2 linked regions of the Diceros bicornis minor genome follow. The protein of the gene in region 1 interacts with the protein of each later gene in a biochemical or structural test. Links are inferred from orthologs where the notes say so. Each region holds a gene or a part of one and is shown in the gene's direction. Other genes may lie near its edges.

Region 1 (11,043 bases):
ATGAACCCACCTGCTGCAGTGAGAGCGCCCAATCTTCACCACTAGACCGCCAGGGCTGGCCTCAGCCTGCCACAACCACCCAGACTACCACACTCTAAGCAGCCCACGCTCCCGTGTCTTCTCCCGCCTCTGCTCTTCTCCTCTTCTTCCTCTCACTCTTACTACCGGCTAGTTTAGAACCCCACTTCCATTCCTGAAACCTTTTTTCTTTCTCTCCCTTTATAGAATGTCCTTCAAGACATAATTTACTCTCAGGATCTCAGTGATTGTTTCTGATCTATTGACTTCTAAATTCTTACTTCCCAAGCACCAGCCTTTCTCCCAAATCCCAGTCAAGAATGTACAGCTTGGGGCCGGCCCCGTGGCTTAGCGGTTAAGTGCGCGTGCTCTGCTGCTGGCGGCCCGCGTTCGGATCCCGGGCGCTCACCAACGCACCGCTTCTCCAGCCATGCTGAGGCCGCGTCCCACATATAGCAACTAGAAGGATGTGCAACTATGACATACAACTATCTAGTGGGGCTTTGGGGGAAAAAAAGGAGGAGGATTGGCAATAGATGTTAGCTCAGAGCCGGCCTTCCTCAGCAAAAAGAGGAGGATTAGCATGGATGTTAGCTCAGGGCCGATCTTCCTCACAAAAAAAAAAAAAAAAAGAATGTACAGCTTCTCTTGGATGTCCCCCAATGATCTTAAAAACTAAACGTTTCTAAAACTGGATTCACGACCCCTCCCCTAACTTCTACCCCACCTTCCTGCAGCTTGTTTTTAAAATGACCCACTCTCAGACACTCAAGTTGGAGACCTAGGACTCACCTTTATTCTTTCCTCTCCTCTGTATCTAATCAGCCACTAAATCCCATAAATTATTTTGTGATTTGGCATTCCTCCAATATTATCACCTAATATCTTGCCTGTTGCTAGAGTGTATAATTAGAAGCCTTTCTCCCATCCAAATCATACTCCTTGTAGGAGTGGATTATCCTCTTCTCCAGGAAGTCCTCTGTGACTGCCCCTTCCTGGGATACCATCTCCCCCTCTAGAGGAAGTAACCCATAATTAAGTGTCCACTATGTGCTTAGCTTTTTCAAGCATTTTAAAATTCGATCTTACAAGTATGTTTTAATGTTTACCGAGACGCTAAGTAACATGCAAAGTAACAGAGTAACAGACGGCAGGGACACAAACCCTGGTCTGACCGACTCCAATGCCAAACTTTTGGTCTCTATTCCACGTGGCCTCCCTAGTTAATGCCAGCAGTTCCAAAACGTGACTGTTCATTAGAATCACCTGGGGAACTGTTCTGAAGGCCCACACCAGAGCTACTACTACGACTCTCTGAAGGTGGGGCCCCAAAATGTATTTTTTAAAAATTCCTATACTTCCTATTTGACATATATTATTTGCTATTTATTACTAATTAGCATGTTTAAAACATATGCGTTCTTCATAACTTCCACTAGGACAGCAAATACTGTCCTATTCATCTCTGGGACCCATCCAGTACCTCTACGGAGCAGGCACTCAAGAATATTTGCTGGTTGTCTAAATGCGAAACTGTGAGGTACACTGTGAGCTATACTGTTGCAAGAGTTCAGAGAATAACAACAACAGTATAACAGCTAGCACTCACTGAACCCTCATCATATGCCAGCCCCTCACTGTTCTAAGAACTTTACATGTGCTAACTTCTGAGGACTTTGCAAGAACCCTACGATCAGGATGCAATTTGCAGGGCCCCTTGTTCAAAAATTTTGAAGCATTTCAATACGGTGAGAGCAGAACATTAAACCAAGCAAGAAGCCAGCCCTTCTAAGTGCCTATGTGACTGTACAGGTCTCGTACCTACGAAGCCAACGCTAAGACTATTATCCCCATTTTACAGAAGAGGAAACTGAGACACAGAGGCATTAAATAAGCATTCCCAAGATCACACTGTTAGTAAGCAGAGATATCAATGCGCACAACCTTTGTTAACAAAGGCTTCATTGCAATCTCTACATTTACAAAGTTCTCCAATCCTTCAATGTTCAGCTCAAATCCTCCCTTGTCTACTAAGTGTTCTCATAACTATGTCTGGAAAATAAGAAGTCTCTCTCCCTCCTCTCAGATTTTAGCTCCATGACAGCACTGGGTTTGTACCTCTCTTATGGCTTTTATCATATTCTCATGTTATGCTTGAAATGCCCTAGGGGGTGGGGGAGACATCCAATAAATTAATGTAGTTAAATGAACAAATTAACAAGGTACAACTTAGAAGACAGAGAAGGACAAGGAGGGAATTCTAGGTAGGGGAAAGGCCTAGGACACTGATGAGCACTTCTGCAGGACACAGGGAGATGGTTGGCTTGATGGATCAAAGGTACATGTAGGGGCTAGTGTGGGTAACACTGGAAAAGAGGGCAAATTAAGTTATAAAGTGTCTTTACAAAGCTAGACTGTCACTTCTCACAGGCCATAAGGACATGTTGCATGTGTAGTTACGTATGCTTCATCTGTTTCACAAACACTTGACCCTACTATGTGTGAGGCACAATTTTAAGCTACAAACAAGACAGACAAGATCCTTGCTCTCATGGAAGTTGCATTTTAGTGGGGGTAAGAACAGACAGCAAAAAAAAAAAAAAAAAAAAGATAATTTCAGGTACTGAGAGGTTTTCTGAAGATAATCAAATAGGGTCCCGTCCCAAAGACTATCTGTGGAAACCACCTTAGATGGGGTGGTCAGGGAAGGCCTCTCTGAGGAAGTGACATCTGAACTGAGACAGTACTAATGGGAAGGAAGAGCGAATGCCAAGGTCCTGAGACTCATACATCATGGTGTCTTCAAGGAACAGAAAGAATGCTGGAGCCTAGTGAGCGAAGGGAAGGGCGGGGGAGACGAGAAAATTGTTTGATGATAATAGTATTTCTGCTTCTGGGGGTTGAAGTTGAAAGAGCAACGTCTCGGCTGCTTTTCTGCGAATGCTCTCTCTTCTCTAAGTTATTTGGGAGAAGCGTGGGAAGTCAGGAAAACGGCAACGAAGTTTGCCCCATTACCAAGCAGAGGGGCACTTAGTCCTCCAGATGTCGCCTTCACCTCCATTCTTCCTCAACGCTAATGAGGCCAAAGTTTGACCCGTCTCAGGTGGGTCAGCTCTGCGCAGGAGGAAAGGGCATCAGGTCACAGCCCGACTGCTTCTCCCCTCGCAGCCAGTCTTCTCACACGTATGTGCTGCAGGTCATGGGGGGACTGGGTGCTTCACAGATCCTGGCGAGTGTCTCCCGGCACGAGACACTTGTCCCGAGCGCTTCAGAGAGGCTCCTGTGTATGCTCAGACCACCCAAGGTGCGGCCCAGATTCTCCCATCTCACAGACCCAAAAGCTTACGTGACTTGTTCAGGATCATACAGCAGGAAATGGTAGAGTAAGAATGAAACCCAGTTTTTCTTTTTAATTTCATAATTCGTTCATTGGACATGAATATTCCTGCCACTCAAAAAGTTATAGAGAAAACACATTAAAACCTGTGTACTCCATACACAGCTCAAGAAACACTTGTACCTCTCCCCACTCTACTAAACCAGGTGGCTTCCAGTTCCTCCTACTTGGGAAACACTGCAAATGGGATCACCATCCATTCCACAGTGCAAGCCAGAGATCCAGCAGGCACCAGTGACACCTCCCTCTTCTTCCAGTCAGTTACCAAGTTCAATTAATTTTGCTATCTATTTCCACTATTACTTCTTCCCTTCTCCTTTCTCCAAGTATCATCTCTTACCTGGACTATTGCAATGGCCTACTAACTGGTCTCCCTGCACCTACTCTTCCCTCTTTCCAGGCTAATCTCCACATTATAACCACCAACATTCTTAACACCTTTGAATAGCTGCCCTTTGCTCTTAAGATATAGACAAAATCATCTGCATGGCATGCAAGATCTCACATGGTCTTTTTCCTACTCAACACTCTAGCTTTACCTCATTCCCTTGTTCTCTGTGCTTTGGAGGTACTGGCCCTCTTGCAGTTCCTTATAATCCCCAAGCTCCCTCCCACCACAGGGCTTTTGCACATGCTATTCCTCCCTTCTCCACCTGAATAAGTCTCTTCTCTTTCTCAAGTAAGCTTTCCCTGAGTGTCCTGAGTCATTCTTTGGCATTTGGCATTTTTACAACTTTACATTTGTTTGAGAATTTTTTTTTTTGTGAGGAGATCAGCCCTGTGCTAACATCTGCCAATCCTCCTCTTTTTTTGCCGAGGAAGACTGGCCCTGGGCTAACATCCGTGCCCATCTTCCTCCACTTTATATGGGATGCTGCCACAGCATGGCTTGCCAAGCGGTGCGTCGGTGCGCGCCCAGGATCCGAACCGGCGAACCCTGGGCTGCTGCAGTGGAGCGCGCACACTTAACCGCTTGCGCCACCGGGCCAGCCCCAACATTTGTTTGAGATTAATTGATTAAAGTCTTTCTTCTCTAACAGGCCAAGGACCAAGAACCACTCACTTAGTACAAAATACATGCTAAATACATAATAGCCAACATATATAAACATGCCAAGCAGTGTTCCTAGCCCTTAACATGTATTAACTCACTTAAGACTTTCCAAAAGCGTACACGAAATAGGTACAATTATTAGCTGCATTTTAGCAAAGTCAGTCACACAAGCTAAGAAGAGGCAGAGCTGGGATATGAACTCGGGCGGACAGTTTCTGGAGTCTGTGTGCTCAATACCTTTTGGTGCCTCACTAGCATCTGCTGAGTGCAGGCTAGTGTTGAGTGCTTTGGACAGGGACTAGCCAGCATCATCAGGAACCTTAGTTCAACTAAAAACTCATTTCACTTGGGTTTTGGGAAGGATCTTTTGTTTGACTGGAACTTTGCTGCAAAACATTTATCTTCCCAGCATTTTATTTCAGCTACTTTAAAAATCCATTTGCCCTCACTGGTATATCATGACTGATGTCGAGTAGAGGGGGTGGCTCAGCACACCGGTGAGAGCAGGAGAAAGCTGGCTTGGAGTGAGACAAAACTCTGGATCATTTGTAGCATGGGTAATCCGCATAAGGGCAGTTCAAGATTTTCATGGAGGTCATCTCACTTAACCTTCATTGATTCCTAACAAAGTTACACACAGGGCCGTTCTTCCTCAGTTAACAGATGAAGCCAAAGGCCGGGTTAGGAGGACGGCTAAGCCACAGGAAATCCGCTAGTCACAGAATGAGGTGAGGAATGGTGTCCCCACACTTCCAGCATCACAACTGCAAAGATATCTCTAGCAGAGAAAGACCTCTTCTTTCTCTTTTAAGGTTAAAGGTAGCTGGCCAAGCTTTTTTTTTTCTTTTTTCTCCCCAAAGCCCCAGTACACAGTTGTCTTAGTTGTAGGTCCTTCTAATTCTTCTACGTGGGACGCTGCCTCAGCACGGCTTGATGAGCGGTGAGTATGTCTGTGCCCAGGATCCGAACTGGCGAACACCCGGGTCGCCGAAGTGGAACGCGGGAACCCAACCGCTATGCCACAGTACCCGCCCCAAGCTTTTCTAATTCTTGGGTGGAATCTCTCAGAGAGGACGGAGTTCCTCCCAGGTATTCCCAGTATGACTAGAGTAGGGCAATTATTCCACAAGCTCAAGCTATTTGGTAAAGAGCTCTATAAGCTATATCCAATTACCCCGAGATCAATACAATGAAAATGTAGTAATTCAGGACATTCTTCACGGGGAGTCCATGTACCAATGTCAGGGAAGTCAAACTGTATGCACATTTTCTTTATGTGCATTCTGCTAAGGAAAGGCTTTCATTAGTTTCTTCCAGGGCTTAGAACTAAATAAGGCTAAGAACCACGATCCTTTATGCCTGTACACACATTCCTGCTGGCTCACGGTTGTGCCTTGATTAGAGGCACCTTCGCAGGATGAAACATTTATATTCCTTTAAGTACCTGGTAGCTATGGATGGGGCGTCTAAGAGAAATCCAAATGCCCATCCCACGTGAGTTAGGCCTTAAAACAGCACAAGCCTCAAACCCTATAAATAGATCTAAAAGATCTGCATGCGCATTCTCCTCCTTGGAAAGGAAGCTGCGTGTAAGGCCAAGGGCAGTCAGGAGCGCTTGAATCCAGTCCAGACCAGGCCACTAACCCGCTGTGTAACCTTGGACAAGTTGCATACCCTCTCTGGGCTTCAGTTTCCACATCTGCAAATAGAAAGTTGAACCGCATGGTCTTCAAAGTCCTTCCCAGCCGAGAGCCTGGTACCAAGGAGGCCTAACCATTAAAGCAGCTTCCTGTGGGCGCGGTGCAGGGCTTTAACGGTCCCCCCTCCCCCGCTCGGGCCCGCGAAATCCTCTTCAACACGCCCCTCGGAGTGACGGCGCTTCCCCAACCGCAGCCCGCACACGGCTCCGCCCCTTCCCGGAGGCGTCCCGTCGTGCCCCGCGCCGGGCTCCGAAAGCGGCGGGGCACCTCCCGCCTTCCCGCGGCCGCGACCCCGAACTCCTCTCCCCAGTTCTCCCGGGCGCCCTATCCCATCAACGTCTAGGATCCCAGCCAATCACGCGGGCCCAGAGTCTTGCCTTCGGTCCACCCTCCTCCCAGCGCGCAGCCGGTCGGAGCTCAAGGCCTTTACCAGGCCAACCCAATCAGCGGCCGGCTCTCGCCTGCCCCACCCCGACCTCTCTCCCCTCGACCAATCCGCACGCCCCATTCCGCTGCCCGCCCAGCTAACCCGGGCCTTGAAACTGGCGGGCAAATCGGTGCATGGCGGCCCTTCAACGCTGCCCACCCGGCCAATTGGGGATTCCGCGTGGCCAGGGCGGCAGCCAATCGGCGAGGAGCGCGGTGCCGCCGCGGAGAGGCCCGGCCCGAATATCCCTCCGCCTTCCTCCCTCCTCTCTCTCCCTCCCTGCGAGCCGCCGTTCACTTATCGCCTCCCTTCCTTCTTTCTCCCTCCGCCGCCCGAGCACCAGCCGCGCTCCTAGCTGCCCCCGGGGTCCCTCCCCCGCCGCCCGAGGAGCAGCTGCCATCGCCGCCAGCAGCAAAATAGGAGGGAGGAAGGAAGGCCAGGAGGAAGGCAGGGGAGCCGGAGCGACCACCAAGAGGGAGCCGGTGAATGGGCTTGTGGTGACCCCCGCCCCCCACCCCACCCTCCCTTCCCACCCGACCCCCAACCCCCATCCCCAGTGAGAGCCGCCGCCCGAGAGGCCGGGCCGTCGTCTTAGGAGGAGCCGCTGCCACCTTCTCCGCCATGGAGCTGATCACCATCCTCGAGAAGACCGTGTCCCCCGGTAGGACGTGGGGGCCGGGGGTCGCGCCGAGGTGACCGGGTGGGGGAAGAGGGACCCCCGGCCCTTCTGACCCTGTCCCCTTTCCCACTTTCCTTCCCCCAGATCGGCTGGAACTGGAAGCGGCGCAGAAGTTCCTGGAGCGTGCGGCCGTGGAGAACCTGGTGCGTGCCGGCCGCCGTCCCCATCCCGCCGTCTCCCATCCTTGCGTGCGGGCCTTCCCGCCCTCCCGGAGGCCCAGGCCTCGGGAACCCACCCCGCCCCATCCCGTCCCCCTCCCCCCGCCCGGTCCAACCTAACCCCGCCATCGGGAAGCCGGTGGGTGTGTCCCGCCCCGGGCCCCGCAGTGGGCCAATGGCGCGGCGCGCCGGGGTGACCGCCGCCCAATCGCCGCGCGGCCTGAGGGCGGCGGTGCAGCGCGAGGGAGAAAGAGGGAGGGAAGGGAAGTTAGGTTGCGCGGCGCTGCGTGTTCAGCAAGGGTGGGGGTGGGGGAGCCGGGCCTAGGGGCCATGTGGAAGCTCGGAGCCCGGCTGCCCGCCTGGTCTCATCCGGGCCGGCTTCTCTCTCCTGTCCCGTGGCCCATGTGATTTTAGATTCTCTCCACCTACTTCCCAGAGCGCTACGCTTTCCTATATCCCTTGGTCTGTGCTCAGGACCAGGCCTGGCACCCAAATGCCCGTTCCGGCAGTATTTCTTCGTTTCCTGCCTGGTTATTCCTCTCCTGGGGTGTTTTTTTTTACATCAATTGAGTGGAGACTTAATCTGTACCCAGACAACCCGCTGAGGCTCATCCTTGAGATCGGGCCTGTGTCCAGATGAAATCACAGAGGAAAGTTCCTCGTTTTTCGTATTTTCAAATTTAAGGGCTACAGACAAAAAATGAAGATAAGTCCACTAGAGACTGGATCTCGAAATAAAAATGTGGGATGGATTGGTTGAAACAGCCTGTGTACCAGTAATGTTTCTCTTTGGTGTCCCTCTCCTGTTGGGGGGGATGGGGAGCAGAGGGAAGGGTGGATGATACTTGACATCTTTTAAAAAGTATTAGGTAATAAATCTAAATAACACTAATTAAACGTGGTCCCTTGTGTTATCTGGGCAAAGTAATGTAAACAAAAAAAGTGACGAGGCTTATTTTATACAAACTGCCTTTAATCATTTTTTTCCCCCCTCATATGTGCTAGTTTTTAGTACTAATCTTTTTATCCTTGACTTTCTGTAGAAAAGATATTTTGCACTAGTGTAGACTGATAACATTTCCATTTAGGGTATATTCTTGTTTCTACTTTTGCTAATATGCAAGAAGGCTTTTATCTTGTTCCTAACATCTTATTCCTAACATTCTTTAGTGGTACATAATTAATAAAACTTTTAAGAATTATCTTCTGCTGTGATTGCGGAACTTGTTAGTGGTAAGAAAGTACCTGCTTTTGGTTTTTCCTGTTAACTTTTCCATTTGCACAGAGCTTTCTGCGGGTAAGAGGAGAGTGTGTTACAATTTTTAAACAAAGGGAGTAGTTTTGGGGACCCGTGCATTACAAAAGATTAAGGATGCTTTTCAGGAATCCAGTATGTTTAGTGGATAACTCAGGTACAAAATGTATAGGAGGTTGTAGCGTATTAACTGTTGACTATTAAATATAAAATTATTTTCCTTGACATTTTTAACTTTTCAATGTTCCCCTATTCCTAAATATTTATGTTTTTCCTTGTAAATCTGCTTTTTTCATTGTTCCCCTTTTACTGAACACTTAGAACTAAAATAGAACTAACCTCCGAAGTCCATGTTTTAGGTTTATAAGTATTTCCCTCTCTTTTACAAGGTTACCTGCTTCCATGAGATCAAAATCCACCTTGAGTATCATTCTTTTTGGACTAAGATTTTTTAAATTTAGAAAAACAATTTTACTTTCTACCCTGTCATGACATGTTCATTCATTTAACAAATATTTATTGAGTACTAGGCACTGTTGTAAGTACAGAGAAGAATCCTCTCACTACCACATTGTCAAATTTGCTTTAGTACTGAGGGATCTAATGTGAAGATCTGATGTTGGTAGGAAAATCTCTAACTCTTTGTTAAATGCTGAGGCTGCATGAGAACATGGATGACTTCTTTATATACCAAGTAACATTTTTATAAGAGTTTTGAAGTAGATATTTTGACATTTTCTGAGACGTTATGATATGTTCTAAAAAATTTAGATTTTCTCCAGTGTTTTGGTGCTCTGTAATTCATTCTCAATTGGTGAAATTCCTAAGAGAGATTTTCATTCACAAATGCATCTTCTCTTAACAGCCCACTTTCCTTGTGGAACTGTCCAGAGTGCTGGCAAATCCAGGAAACAGTCAGGTTGCCAGAGTTGCAGCTGGTCTACAAATCAAGAACTCTTTGACATCTAAAGATCCAGATATCAAGGCACAGTATCAGCAGAGGTGGCTTGCTATTGATGCTAATGCTCGACGGGAAGTCAAGAATTATGTAAGTGACTTTCATCTCATTCTGGTCATATTAGCCTAGGGAACAAGAAACATCTTTGTCAGTTTTTTGTCATTTAAATGGGATAGAGCTGACAGTGTAATAGGTTTCTGGGACCTAAACTTCACTTGAAGATAGAAATCGTATTTGATTTAAATCTTCTTTCTCAGTTCAGCTTGTCTGTTCCCATTAATGCATTGGAATTTTTTTTTAGACAACTGAGATAGACTGCAGCAGTTTGGGAAACTTGAATTAGATGCCAGAATTTGTAGAGTCTCTGGTGAATTTGCATGGTAGACAAATTGGTGGTTCCCAACTTGGACTATCAGAATCACTTAGAGAATTTGTTAGTGATATGTATTTCCAGGCTCCCTGCAGAGATTCCCATTTGGAGTGAGGTTCAGGGATATTTTTTAAACTGTCTTCCCAAGTGATTCTTCCATAGTCACCCAGCACCTGGCTCTTGTTGAACTTCTGCTATAGATAATTTTCGTTGTTTGCTGGTTTAGGCATGGCACTATGTGCAGTCAGAAGGGGAATTAAATGATCTCTTGGGCCTTTCAAGCCCAAAGAGTTGGCAAAATAAGATTATGACGTTAATGTTGCTTTTATCTACTTAGCAAATTATGAAAAATTTTTTTTAGGAACATTTGGCTTTTTATCAAGGGGTTTAAAGAGCTGGACTGATGAATTTTGAGGAAAACTGAATGTCCCTTGTTGCTCTGCACCATGGAGTTCTTGTGACTTTTTTGCTGAGTTAGAAATCCATAATTCTAGCTACAGCAAAGGATTCAGAATATGTGGACAGATGTTCGCTTTTTTCTTATTTTTTTTAGTTAATGAGATTCTTTAGTGGCCTGTCTTACATGGATAAGGCACAGAGCATAGTAAGTAAGCATCTGTGCAGTCATTGATTCGTCCTTGGTTTTTGAGGGGAAACCAGTGGGGGATTCCTGTGGGTGTGCTTGTGCAGGTCATGGTTATGCACATCATATTTGCTGTTTCCTTTTTCTAGGTGTCAGCATTAGGTAAATTAGTTCCCCTTAAGGCAGTAACTTCTCTTTCTAGTTATATACCTCCTTCCCTCTCCAATCTTGCATGGAGGTGCTCATGACTTGGAACTAGGTTATGAAAGCCAACTTTGAGTCTCCTTCAATATATGTAGAGCTATTTCTATCCACATTGGGTCTGCTTATGTAATAACATTTTAATCTTTAGCTCAGTAATTTGATATAAATGAAGTTTATTTTATCAGTCACTGGAAATCGTGGGGCTTATAGTCCCCATTCATTTTCTCATCTTAAATTACA
Region 2 (10,768 bases), on another chromosome or scaffold:
ACAGACAGACGAAAAGATGTTCAACATCACTAATTATTAGGGAAATACAAATCAAAACCACAATGAGATATCACCTTATACCTGTCAGAATGGCTATAATTATGAAGACAAAAAATAACACATGTTGGAGAGGATGTGAAGAAAAGGGAACCAACCTGCACGGACTGCTGGCGAGAATGCAAAATGGTGCAGCCACTGTGGAAAACAGTACGGACATTTCTCAAAAAATTAAAAATAGAAATACCATTGGATCCAGCTATCCCACTACTGGGTATTTATCCAGAGATCTTGAAATTAACAATTCAAAGAGATTTATGCACCTCTATGTTCACTGCAGCATTATTCACAATAGCCAATACGTGGAAGCAATCCAACTGCCCTGCTACAGATGAATGGATAAAGAAGATGTGGTATATATATGTGATGGAATACTACTCGGCCATAAAAAAGACAAAATTGTGCCATTTGCAAGAACATGGATGGACCTCGAGGATATGATGTTAAGCAAAATAAGCCAGACAGGGAAAGATAAACACTGAATGATTTCACTCATATGTGGCAGGCAGACAAACACATGGACAAAGAGAACAGATTAGCGGTTACCAGAGGGGAAGGGGGCTGGCGGGTGGGTGAAAGGGGTAAAGGGGCACATACGTATGGTGATGGATAAAAATGAGACTACTGGTGGTGAGCACGATGCAGTCTATACAGAAATTGATAAATAATAATGTACACCTGAATTTATACAATGTTATAAATCTTTATGATTGCAATAAAATAATTGGAGGGGAAAAAATAAAAAATGTTTTAAAAAAAATAGGGATAGGGAGCCTGCCTGAAGTGAGAAGTAGTGGGATAAGAGGTTTGGGCCTATACCCCACCCACTCCCAGTTCCTTATTTCCCAATCCCTAGAATCCTAACCCTCCTCCCTACCAGTTTAGGCTACTAGAAACCATGAGAGTCTAACCGGTGAGGGCTAGGCCAGGCTCCCAAAACATCAGGTAAACTATGAATTTGCAGAATGTCTAATTCACGGAATTCTAAGTGTAAGGAACACTGTCATCTTTGTAATTGCATCACCTAACACAATTCCTGGTGCATAGTGGCAAAGAGAAGAGATGTGTTCCTGCTGACCAAAGCTGTAAATCCAAGTATTTTCCTTATAGAAACACTGTCACATATTGTGACAAGGTTCCATGGCATTCAAATAAGTACTTGACAAATTAAATAAGCCTTTGTGAGCTAACCTGAACACCTACCCACTAGTCATGACCATGTTCTCATGCACATGTTTCAAAGAACTAATCTTCAAGTAAACTTTTGAAATATCACTCATTTGTACGTCACTATACTTGGTTGATGCTGTTAACACAAAATTTTTAAATTGAGGGTCTAGGCTCAATGATTTCAAGTTTCCAAATAGCATTCTGCTTAATACTAATGTCTCAAAATTTCCACTCCCACCCACCCCCAAGTTCCTAAAACTGTCACACAAAGGAAACTTTTTTTTTTAAGAAACACTCACTAACATCCAGTTCTGGGGAACTCTGAGAAACACTGCTGTAGGTCATATGATAGTCTCCTTGACTATTTGGCTTCTTAAGTGGTTCTTTCTGTGCTAATTACTTCTTAATAATTAAAAACAAATGATACAGGTGCCAGGCCAGTGGCATAGTGGTTAAGTTTGCTTGCTCCTCTTTGGGGGCCCGGGGTTCACAGGTTCGGATCCTGGGTGTGGACCTGCACACCGCTCATCAAGCCATGCTGTGGCAGCTTCCCATATACAAAATATAGAGGAAGGCTGGCACAGATGTTAGGTCAGGGACAATCTTCCTCAAGTAAAAAGAGGAAGATTGGCAACAGATATTAGCTCAGGGTGAATCTTCCTCACCATAAAAAATATATATATATTTTTATATATATATATAAATATATATATCCTTTATATATATAAAATACACATATATCCTTTATATATATAAAATATATATATACACATATCCTTTCATTTTCCAATATTTTAGGCTCAAGTGAAAAGCAAGTGAAAAAAAGCTTTAGAAAATCTATGCATGTTTGCCTGGTGGCAATACAAATAGATATCAACCAATAATCAATGATCTGTATACATGAGTATAAATTCAGTTTTTATCAACTGAACTAAAAAATTTAGTTTTTCTTCAATTAATTAGTCAAAACTAAGCTTAAAAAAACTAAGTTAAAGAAAAATTGGGTGGCTCACCTCTCCAATCAAATTAATATCAACGCTTTTTAGCTTTTTAATTCATCATCTCTTACCATTCAGGGACTTTGGTCAAAATAAAGAAGTAGTTTTCTCCAGGCTCCTCAAGTTATAAGTCAGAAAAGTCCTGGCAATAAACAGAAATGAATGAAGCCCCCCCAATACCTGATCAACTATGTTTTCCTAAGAAAATAAAGGTATATTATCAAAGGTCCAATGTTTTCCTCTGAAAAAAAGAACTACTCCAACTACAAAAAACATAAATTACAGTTTAGTAAGATTTAGCAACATATAAAGTTGCGTCTTGTTTCAGAAAATACTACCTAGAGTTTTGCTCAAGTAATCTCACAAAATCCAAGGTACTCCCTAAACAGTAACGGAAACGATAAGATCCATATTATAAATTAAAGAGAGATTCCACAATCTTCAATTTAATCTAAGTATCATAAGACTACTCCAAACTGCTTAAATAATTATCAATCATAATTCTTTTTGAAATTATATTTGATCAACTAAAACCCTGTGTAAACCTTCACAAATCCTCTCATAAATATCTGCTGCAGAACAGAGGAAGATTCTTTATTCAGAAAGTGACTCTAAGAGGAGAATTTCATGACACATTGAAAATAAGTTATTTCCATATTTCAGTCTTTTTCTATACCAAGTTAACAAGTCAGGATATTAAGTTACCTGGCACTGAATATCCTATTTGAAAACAGGTCTCATATATAGGTTTCATAGTGTTTGGTTACAAGTATATTTCATATACACAAAAAACATCTTTGTTAAATATTAAATAGTCTATGTTGAAACGGTATTAATGGCTGCATCTGACTACTTTCTTATTCAGCAAGTTAAATTTCTGAAACTACAGTTAGAGCTATTGTATCTTGCTAATTAGGCTGCCAATCTGCATTTAAAGCTACAGTCATGGGCTGCATAACAACAGTTCAGTCAATGGCGTACCACATATATGACAGTGGTCCCATAAGATTAGTACCACACAGCCTAGGTGTATAGTAGGCTATACTATCTAGGTTTGTGTAAGCACACTCTGATGATCGAACAACGAAATCACCTAAGGACGCATTTCTCAGAATCAATCCCTGTAGTTGTTAAGCAACACATGGCTGTATCACCAACTCTAGAAAAACTTCTTTACCCCTGTTATAAGTTATGTATCCTCTATCTGGGAAGAACTGGAAGTATAGACACTAAACATTTAAACTGGCTGGCAAACAGGTAGTGACAATTTCAAATGAAAAATTTAGGCCAGCAAACAGATTACCTAAGCATTATAATTAAGGATAATTGTTAGTCTTAGCAAAGTGTGTCACAACTACTTTTAAACACGTGGGGGGGTATGCCCTGAAACCTATGTCTCGTCTACTCCCTGAACCCTGGAATGAGTATGATACCAAATTAAGTATTCTTAGAAGGAACTCAGTGTAAATCATAAGCAATAGCAACTCAATTCACATCTTTTATCAAGAAGTGTTACCTTGTTTTTAACTTATGAAACATAACCAAAGACTTTTAGATTCAAGTCTTACATTTGACAGTCACTGAGCGCATTCTATGTGCCACGTACTACTAGGTGCGGGTATACAGAGAACAAAACAAATATGGTCCTTGACTTCAGAGAGCTTATTGTCTAGAGAGGGAGACAGGCTTTAGACAGACCTTAAAAAACAAACCAAAATCACTTTGTGGTTATTTCCTGTTTGTACTGCATCTCACTCAGTGGGGAACTGTGATCATGCCCTTGTTTTAGGAGTATTCTGCAGAGAACCTTGAGTTGTTTAATCATCAGAGACAATCAGTTGTAGCTGGGAGACATAATGGCAGTGTGGGAGAGCGAAATTGGCCACCTCAACATATGTCTCTTTACCTTCATTATTTTCTCTGGAGGACATTTGACCTTCCCCCCTAACTGCCTAAACGAATTTAACTCTGGGTATGGATATACCAGCAGGGTCCTTGGGAAGCCCAAACATTTACATTTGTAAGGGAAATCTCCATTTGTAAAGGTATCTACCTCTCTCTACTGGGAAGAGCGGGGGATGACCCTATCTCTGGAAACTCTTATCAGCACGGAGGAGAAGACTTAAATCTACACTCTCTTGATTGCTGTGCTTTCTGGTCTTTCCCTCCCCAACACCCTCCTTTGTCTATCTGAACAGGCTATTTAAGGCGAACACCTCTGCGGTTTGTAGAGAAACACAGTGTCCCTGGTTTCTCCCATGTATACATGTCATTAAACTTTGATTTTCTCTCCTGCTCTTCAGTCTCATTTCAATTTAATCTGTAGCCCAGCCAGGAAGGCCCAGAGCGGGTAGAGGAGACTCTTCTTCCCCCTTCAGCAGACAATTTTATAACCTTTATCATGAAAGCTGTCATGGAATTTATTCCAACAAGTACAAAATATTCATCTACATACGCATGTCGACAAGATCACTTCTAATTATAGGGTGGAATTCACCAATAATTTGTTTTCTTGAATCCTGCTCATGACAAATATCCATGTTGGGGGAAAATACACACATATTCCAGCTTTTCAAGTGAAATTTCTTATCCTAAACTCATTTTGAAAACATCAGTGCCCCAGTGTGCAATGGTACTTCAATTAAATGATTCTTTAGGGAATATTTATAATGAATGTCATGATTTAAAGTTAAAATCGGCACTGAATTTACATTCAAGTTAATCTTCAGTGTGGATTATTTCCATGTACAGCTTCTGTTTGCCTAGGAAGCTGAAAGTATACCAAGTATTGAGGACTTTAAAGGTATTATTCTCATTTCAAACATTTTATCTCTGCACGCTGTTCTACTCAAAAAGAATGCTAGTATGGAAGTGGGAGGGAAGGGGATGAGGAGTGAAAGTTCCCAAAGGAGTTTGAATCAGGGTCTCCTCCCACTACGTCGTCAAACTGAAACACACCCGACGCTTCTACCCTGCCGCTTTCCTTCCGACCTCAGTCGCTGCTGACTACCCCACGTTTACCTGTACATTTGAAGTACTTTTAGTTGGTATTTAAATATATTTTTAAACCTTTTCTTTCTCCCCTTTCCAGAAATATTTGAGTACGTTCTTTCGTAGCTTGTTATTTTCGCCTCTGATAATAATATTCCTGGTAGGGATGTATGATCTTCGAATTCGTTTCCTTTCTCAACAGAGTTACAATATTACACTACTGTGTCATGTGCCACAGACCCCGCCTTCCAGAAGTTAGTACTTGATGGCCAAGAAGCTTCTTTACTCTCTAAGACCGAATACCTAAGAGGTGCTAACATCAAAGGATCATCAGCGATTCCAAAGTTCCTACCTGTTGCGGGGACTTGGTCAGAGGAGATGAATCAGATTTGTCTAACGCGTCCTTTTCCTTTTCCACTCACCAACCCTCCCGCTTCCCGCCGCGCCCCCCAAAGCACGTCACCCTGCAGTCCTGCCCCGAAGCCCGGCCCTCAGACGCAGGGCCGCCTCCGGGGAACGGAGCTGGTGGGGCAGAAGGGTCCCGACCCGCGATGGGGCAGGCGCAGCCCTCACTTCCTGTAAAGTCGGCGGAGAGCGCAGGGAATACCCTGGGCGAGAGGGCGCACCCGAGAAACAGTGGACGTACTCCTCCTCGGCTTCGAGCCCGGACCCCGGACATCTGCGGCAGCAGGACGCCCGGAGCAAACCACCACGCTCCGGGGCTCCTCCCTTTCCCCCGCTCCCCTCTTGCGGTCTCAGTCTCCTTCGCTTCCTCCCCCGCGCTCCGGCGGCACGGGGCCCCACCCCTCCCAGACTTCCCGGCCGCCGGCCCCTTCCTCCCAGCGCAGCTCGCTTCCCCTTTCCTTTTGCTCTCTTCGCCCCCGCTCTCCATCGTCCTTTCTGATTGGTCGAGCGCGCCGGAGCCTGGGTAGCCAATCAGCGAGCGGGGTTGGCGGGATGGGCGTGGTCGCGGCGCCGGGCCCTCAGACCGAGGCTGCCTCCCCCTCTCAGCCGGCAGCGCATTCCGCCGCCGTTGCCGCCCGGCCCCGCAGTTGTCTCAGCCCGAGCGCGGTCGCGCCGGATAGGGCGGGGGGCGGGCGGGGAGAGGAGCAGGAGGCCGCGCGAGGCAGGGAGAGGAGGAAGGCCGCGGCTGGCGGCCCGGCTCCCGGGAGTGTCGGCGCGGCGTGGTGGTTGGGGCGGATCCCGCGGGGCCCGGGCGGGGAGGGAGTCTCCGGCCCGGCCATGGCGGACAACGAGAAACTGGACAACCAGCGGCTCAAGAATTTCAAGAACAAAGGCCGCGACTTGGAGGTACGGTCGGGGCGCCGGAGGGCGGGGCGCGGGCGCTCGGCGGCCTCGAGTGCGGGGGGCGGGCGGAGCCGGGCCGGGCATGGCGCCGGGCCGCCCGCCGTGACGCCTTTGCGGCCGCGCCGGGAAGTTGGTGCCGGCCTGGGCGGCCTCCGCCGGGAGCGGCGCTGGGCTGCGGCCTAGGCCTGCCCGCGGCGCCGGAGCCGGAGCCGGCGCGTCCGGGCCGGGAGGGCTCCCCCGGCGCGGGGTTCCGGCGCTCGCTCGGGCGCCGGCGCCGCGGCAGGGGGCGGGAGGGCGGCGGGGAGCGAGCCTGCGGCCCCCGAGGGGGCTCGGAACTTCCTCGGCGCGGCCCGGGGCGTGTGCGCTGACAGACATGTCGGCGGGTCTTCCCGACCCCCGCTTTACTCCTGTCTCCCCCGGTATCCGAGCTACGGCAGTCCGCTTCTCCGTGGAGAAATGCCCCTCCTGGGGATGCTGACATGCCTTCCAGCAGCCTGTGTTTTATTCGGATGTAGCTGACTCAAGACGTGGCTCACAGTGTGCCCTCTTCCAGGCAAAGGATAGCCCTTATTTCAGCTTGTTCAGAAATCTTTCTACCGCCTCCTGAGAGCCTCCAGCTGCGTTCTTACGTATAAAGTCCAGAGGGTTATAGAAAGCTGTCATCCGCTAATCTACAGTATTGTTGCCCTCCACCTGCTAGTGGTGGTAGTGGGGGATGGGGTGGGCTCTGGAATGGCACCCTCACGTTTTATTATTTTAAGAGAGTGAAGAAAATCTTCATTATCTTAGATAGAGCTGCTCTCGAGGTTCTCCGGCTACATAAGATGTGAGGGTCAAATACGCACATACACACAAATCACAGATTTCTGGTAGAAGACTTCTTCCCTTCAGCTTTAAGAGTCTAGATAAATAGGATTTTTGTTTGTTTCCTTTTTTTAATACTTCCGTTCTGTATCTGAATCAAGAGTTTAGCTTTTAGGAGAAAGCGGTCAAGTAGTATTTTTTATGTTGTCCCTTTGTACTTTTTTGTACTGAGATCTTCAAATTCCCATCACCTGTTTCTGGACTTTGACCATTGCTTGACTGAGGTAGTAACTGCTTGGGGGCCTTTACACAAAGCCATTCAGTCTCTAGGGTAGTTTGTGCTGTCTTAGTGGTTTCATAGTTTGAGGGACTATTGTCTGGGGCTGTGGCTGTTAGTTCTGATTGTTTTAAGGTTAACGTGAGACATGAATCTTGTGATCCCTTTATTTTAATGAAAAAATTTTAACATCTATGTTGAGATAATTTACATGCCATAGAAACCACCATTTAAATGTACAATTTATGATTTTTAGTAAGTTTACCGAGTTGTGTAGTGATGTAATGAAAAAATTTTTGACTAATATGAATATTTAGAATGAGAAAAAAAATCACAAATTACAAAACTTTAAATACTGCAAAGTTACAAAATCCCGAAAAATATCAGTTAGGTGCTTGATGAATCCTTCTACTCCTTTTTTCCCCCTACATTTCTGGCTGCAGTTTTTCTAACAGTTTCATTGAGATGTAATTCACATACCATACCATTCACCCATTTAAAGTGGGCTTTTGGTGTTTTCACATGGTTGTGCAACCATCACCACAATCAATCTTGGAACGTTTTCATCACCCCAGAAAGAAACCCAAACTCATTAGCAGTCACTCTTCATTTCCCAAGTACTGTGTCTTTTTAGATTTGCCTATTCTGGATATTTAATGTAAATGTGTTATACAATATGTGATCTTTTGTGGCTGGCTTCTTTCAGGTAGCATAATGTTTTCAAGGTTTGCACATGTTGTAACAAGAATGTGTCAGTGTGTCAGTGCTTCGTTCCTTTTTATGGCTGAATAATATTCCAGTGCGTGGATATACCACGTTTTGTTTATCCATTTATCAGTTGATAGACATTTGCATTGTTTCTTCCTTTTAGCTATTATGCATAATACTGCTATGAACATCCATATACACATTTTTGTGTGGACCTATGTTTTCATTTCTCTTTGGTTATATACTTAGGAGTAGAATTTCTGGGTCATATAGTAACTTTATGTGTAGCCTTTATTGGGATTGCCAAACTGTTTTCTCAAGTGATCCTTTTGTTTTTTAAATTGATGTTTCCACTTGCTGTATACCTCTTGTTTATTACTTTAGTCAAAATAAGATTAAGTGCTGACTCTATATTAGAATAATATTATGATATGTGATTTTTAAAAATAGCTATAAATACACATTAGGCAGATTTTTTGGAGAAGTTAAAGGTGCCTTCTGGGCATCCTCTGGTGACTTTGATAACCCTGTGTGTACATTAGGAATAGGAATCTTTTCACTTTTCCACCTAAGGAAATGACATATGACTCTAATGGAAAGTCATACTTTGTCCTCACTTGTGACTTACTCAAAGTCACATATGCTTGTGATGAGATGGAAACATCTTTTATTATCCTTAGAGAACACCAGAATGGCCTATTTTGTCTATTTATTAATTACATATATGCCTGTGTCCGTCAAAACACTTAACTATGCTCATCTCCTCCACCCCCAAATATGGTTTCTATGTTGTGCAACAACAAATCCTGAGAAAATACTGCTTTTTGATTTAGGTTTTATGATAACAGCTGTTTCATTGGGAGGTCTTTGGAAAGAAGTATGGACCAGTGCTGTCCAATAAATTTTATTTAATCCAATATATCCAAAATACTGTTGCAATATGTAATCAATGTAAAAAAATGAGATATTTTATATTCTTTTCATACTGAGTCTTCAAAATCTGGTTTGTATTTTGCACTTACAGCACATCTCAATTTGGACTACCTACATTTCAGGTGCCTTATAGCTACATGTGGCTAGTGGCTACCTAAATGGACCACACAGATACAGAGGATAGCATACAGAGTGAGGTAATTATAGCATTTTTCAGTTTGATCTGACATTGTTTGATTTGAAATTATGAAGAGTACAAAGTCCTAGAGTTTAGTTTAATCTGATCTGTGTGTGACCTTGGAAGAATTAGTCAGTCTTACGGTTCTTTCAGTCTGTAAAACTGGAGGTACTTGACATCTGCTTCATGAGTGTTGTGAAGATTGATAGGTTAATGTTAGGAAGATGCCTGGCAATTCTCTGAGCATTTTATCACCTTCAGTTTTTCTGTTTGGGGGGCAGGAGGGGATTTAATAGGATTCAGTGTAATTGATTCTTTTTGTGTGTGTGTGTGAGGAAGATCAGCCCTGAGCTAACATCCAATGTCAATCCTCTTCTTTTTTGCTGAGGAAGAGTTGACCCTGGGCTAACATCCGTGCCATCTTCCTCTACTTTATATGGGATGCCACCACAGCATGGCCTTACAAGCAATGCCTAGGTGCGCACCCGGGATCCGAACCTGTGAATCCCGGACCGCCAAAGCAGAGCACACATACTTAACCACTACGCCACTGGGCTAGCCCCTGATTCTTACTCCCTTATTTGTAATTGGCTCTGTTTTTTTCTTCTGTGCGAATATATATCTTAAGTTACAATTAATGGGGAAAGTTTTTAATGTAGAGATGTCTGATTGTTCATTGAAGGGCTTTTGGGCATAGGGAATTAGTGACTCTTCTAAAATCATAATTTCTAAGTGTTAGAGTTGAAACTAATTCATAGCTTTCAATCTGATGTTCATTCCTGTCTTTCAGTCTACCATTCTGGGTCCTCCAAAATGTGCTCATGCCTACTTCTTGAAAGACAGAAGCATCAAAGAAGGCATATGTCAGTAACCATTTAAAATAATTTACAGGAACTGTCAGATGATAGTCAAGGCTTGGCTTCTCTCATGCACTGTGTTAGAGAATCGTTATTATTAGTTTGAGAATAGTAACCATAGAGAATGTATGCACAGTGCAACACAGGAAATGGGTAGGGACAAAACTTCAATAAAAAATTTGTCGGAATAAAGCAAATTAAGATCATTATGTTTATGTTTTAAAAGTAGAGGGGGAATCTCTTGTAGACTTTATAACCTGTTTGATTTTTATAGAAGTTCTTGAGAGTGTCCAGGTTAAAATAGAGTATAAGTTATGTTAGAAAAATAATTGTCTTACAAAAACCTAGCTTTTAAGAAAAAACCTTACCCTAAAAATAAAAGAACATTAAAATACTACATAATTGGAAACTTGTGATTGTCCACACAAGATACAATATGAAGTCAGCTTGAACTTAAAAAAAAAAAATAGTTGCTTTGTTGGCAAGA

Evidence for each region.
Region 2: the proteins of KPNB1 (region 1) and KPNA4 form a complex in vitro, tested with the Homo sapiens proteins (2 studies listed by BioGRID and IntAct, with this or other methods). The link is inferred for Diceros bicornis minor from reciprocal best matches to the Homo sapiens genes KPNB1 and KPNA4.

What each region holds. Positions count from the first base shown.
Region 1 is NC_080757.1:38,183,545-38,194,587, reverse strand, and holds the start of KPNB1 (importin subunit beta-1), read left to right. Parts: upstream 1-6,897; 5' UTR 6,898-7,217; coding exon 7,218-7,257; intron 7,258-7,359; coding exon 7,360-7,418; intron 7,419-9,553; coding exon 9,554-9,736; intron 9,737-11,043.
Region 2 is NC_080754.1:66,456,258-66,467,025, reverse strand, and holds the start of KPNA4 (importin subunit alpha-3), read left to right. Parts: upstream 1-6,226; 5' UTR 6,227-6,458; coding exon 6,459-6,527; intron 6,528-9,337; exon of another isoform or gene 9,338-9,404; coding exon of another isoform or gene 9,405-9,443; intron 9,444-10,768. UniProt on the Homo sapiens protein: Functions in nuclear protein import as an adapter protein for nuclear receptor KPNB1. Binds specifically and directly to substrates containing either a simple or bipartite NLS motif.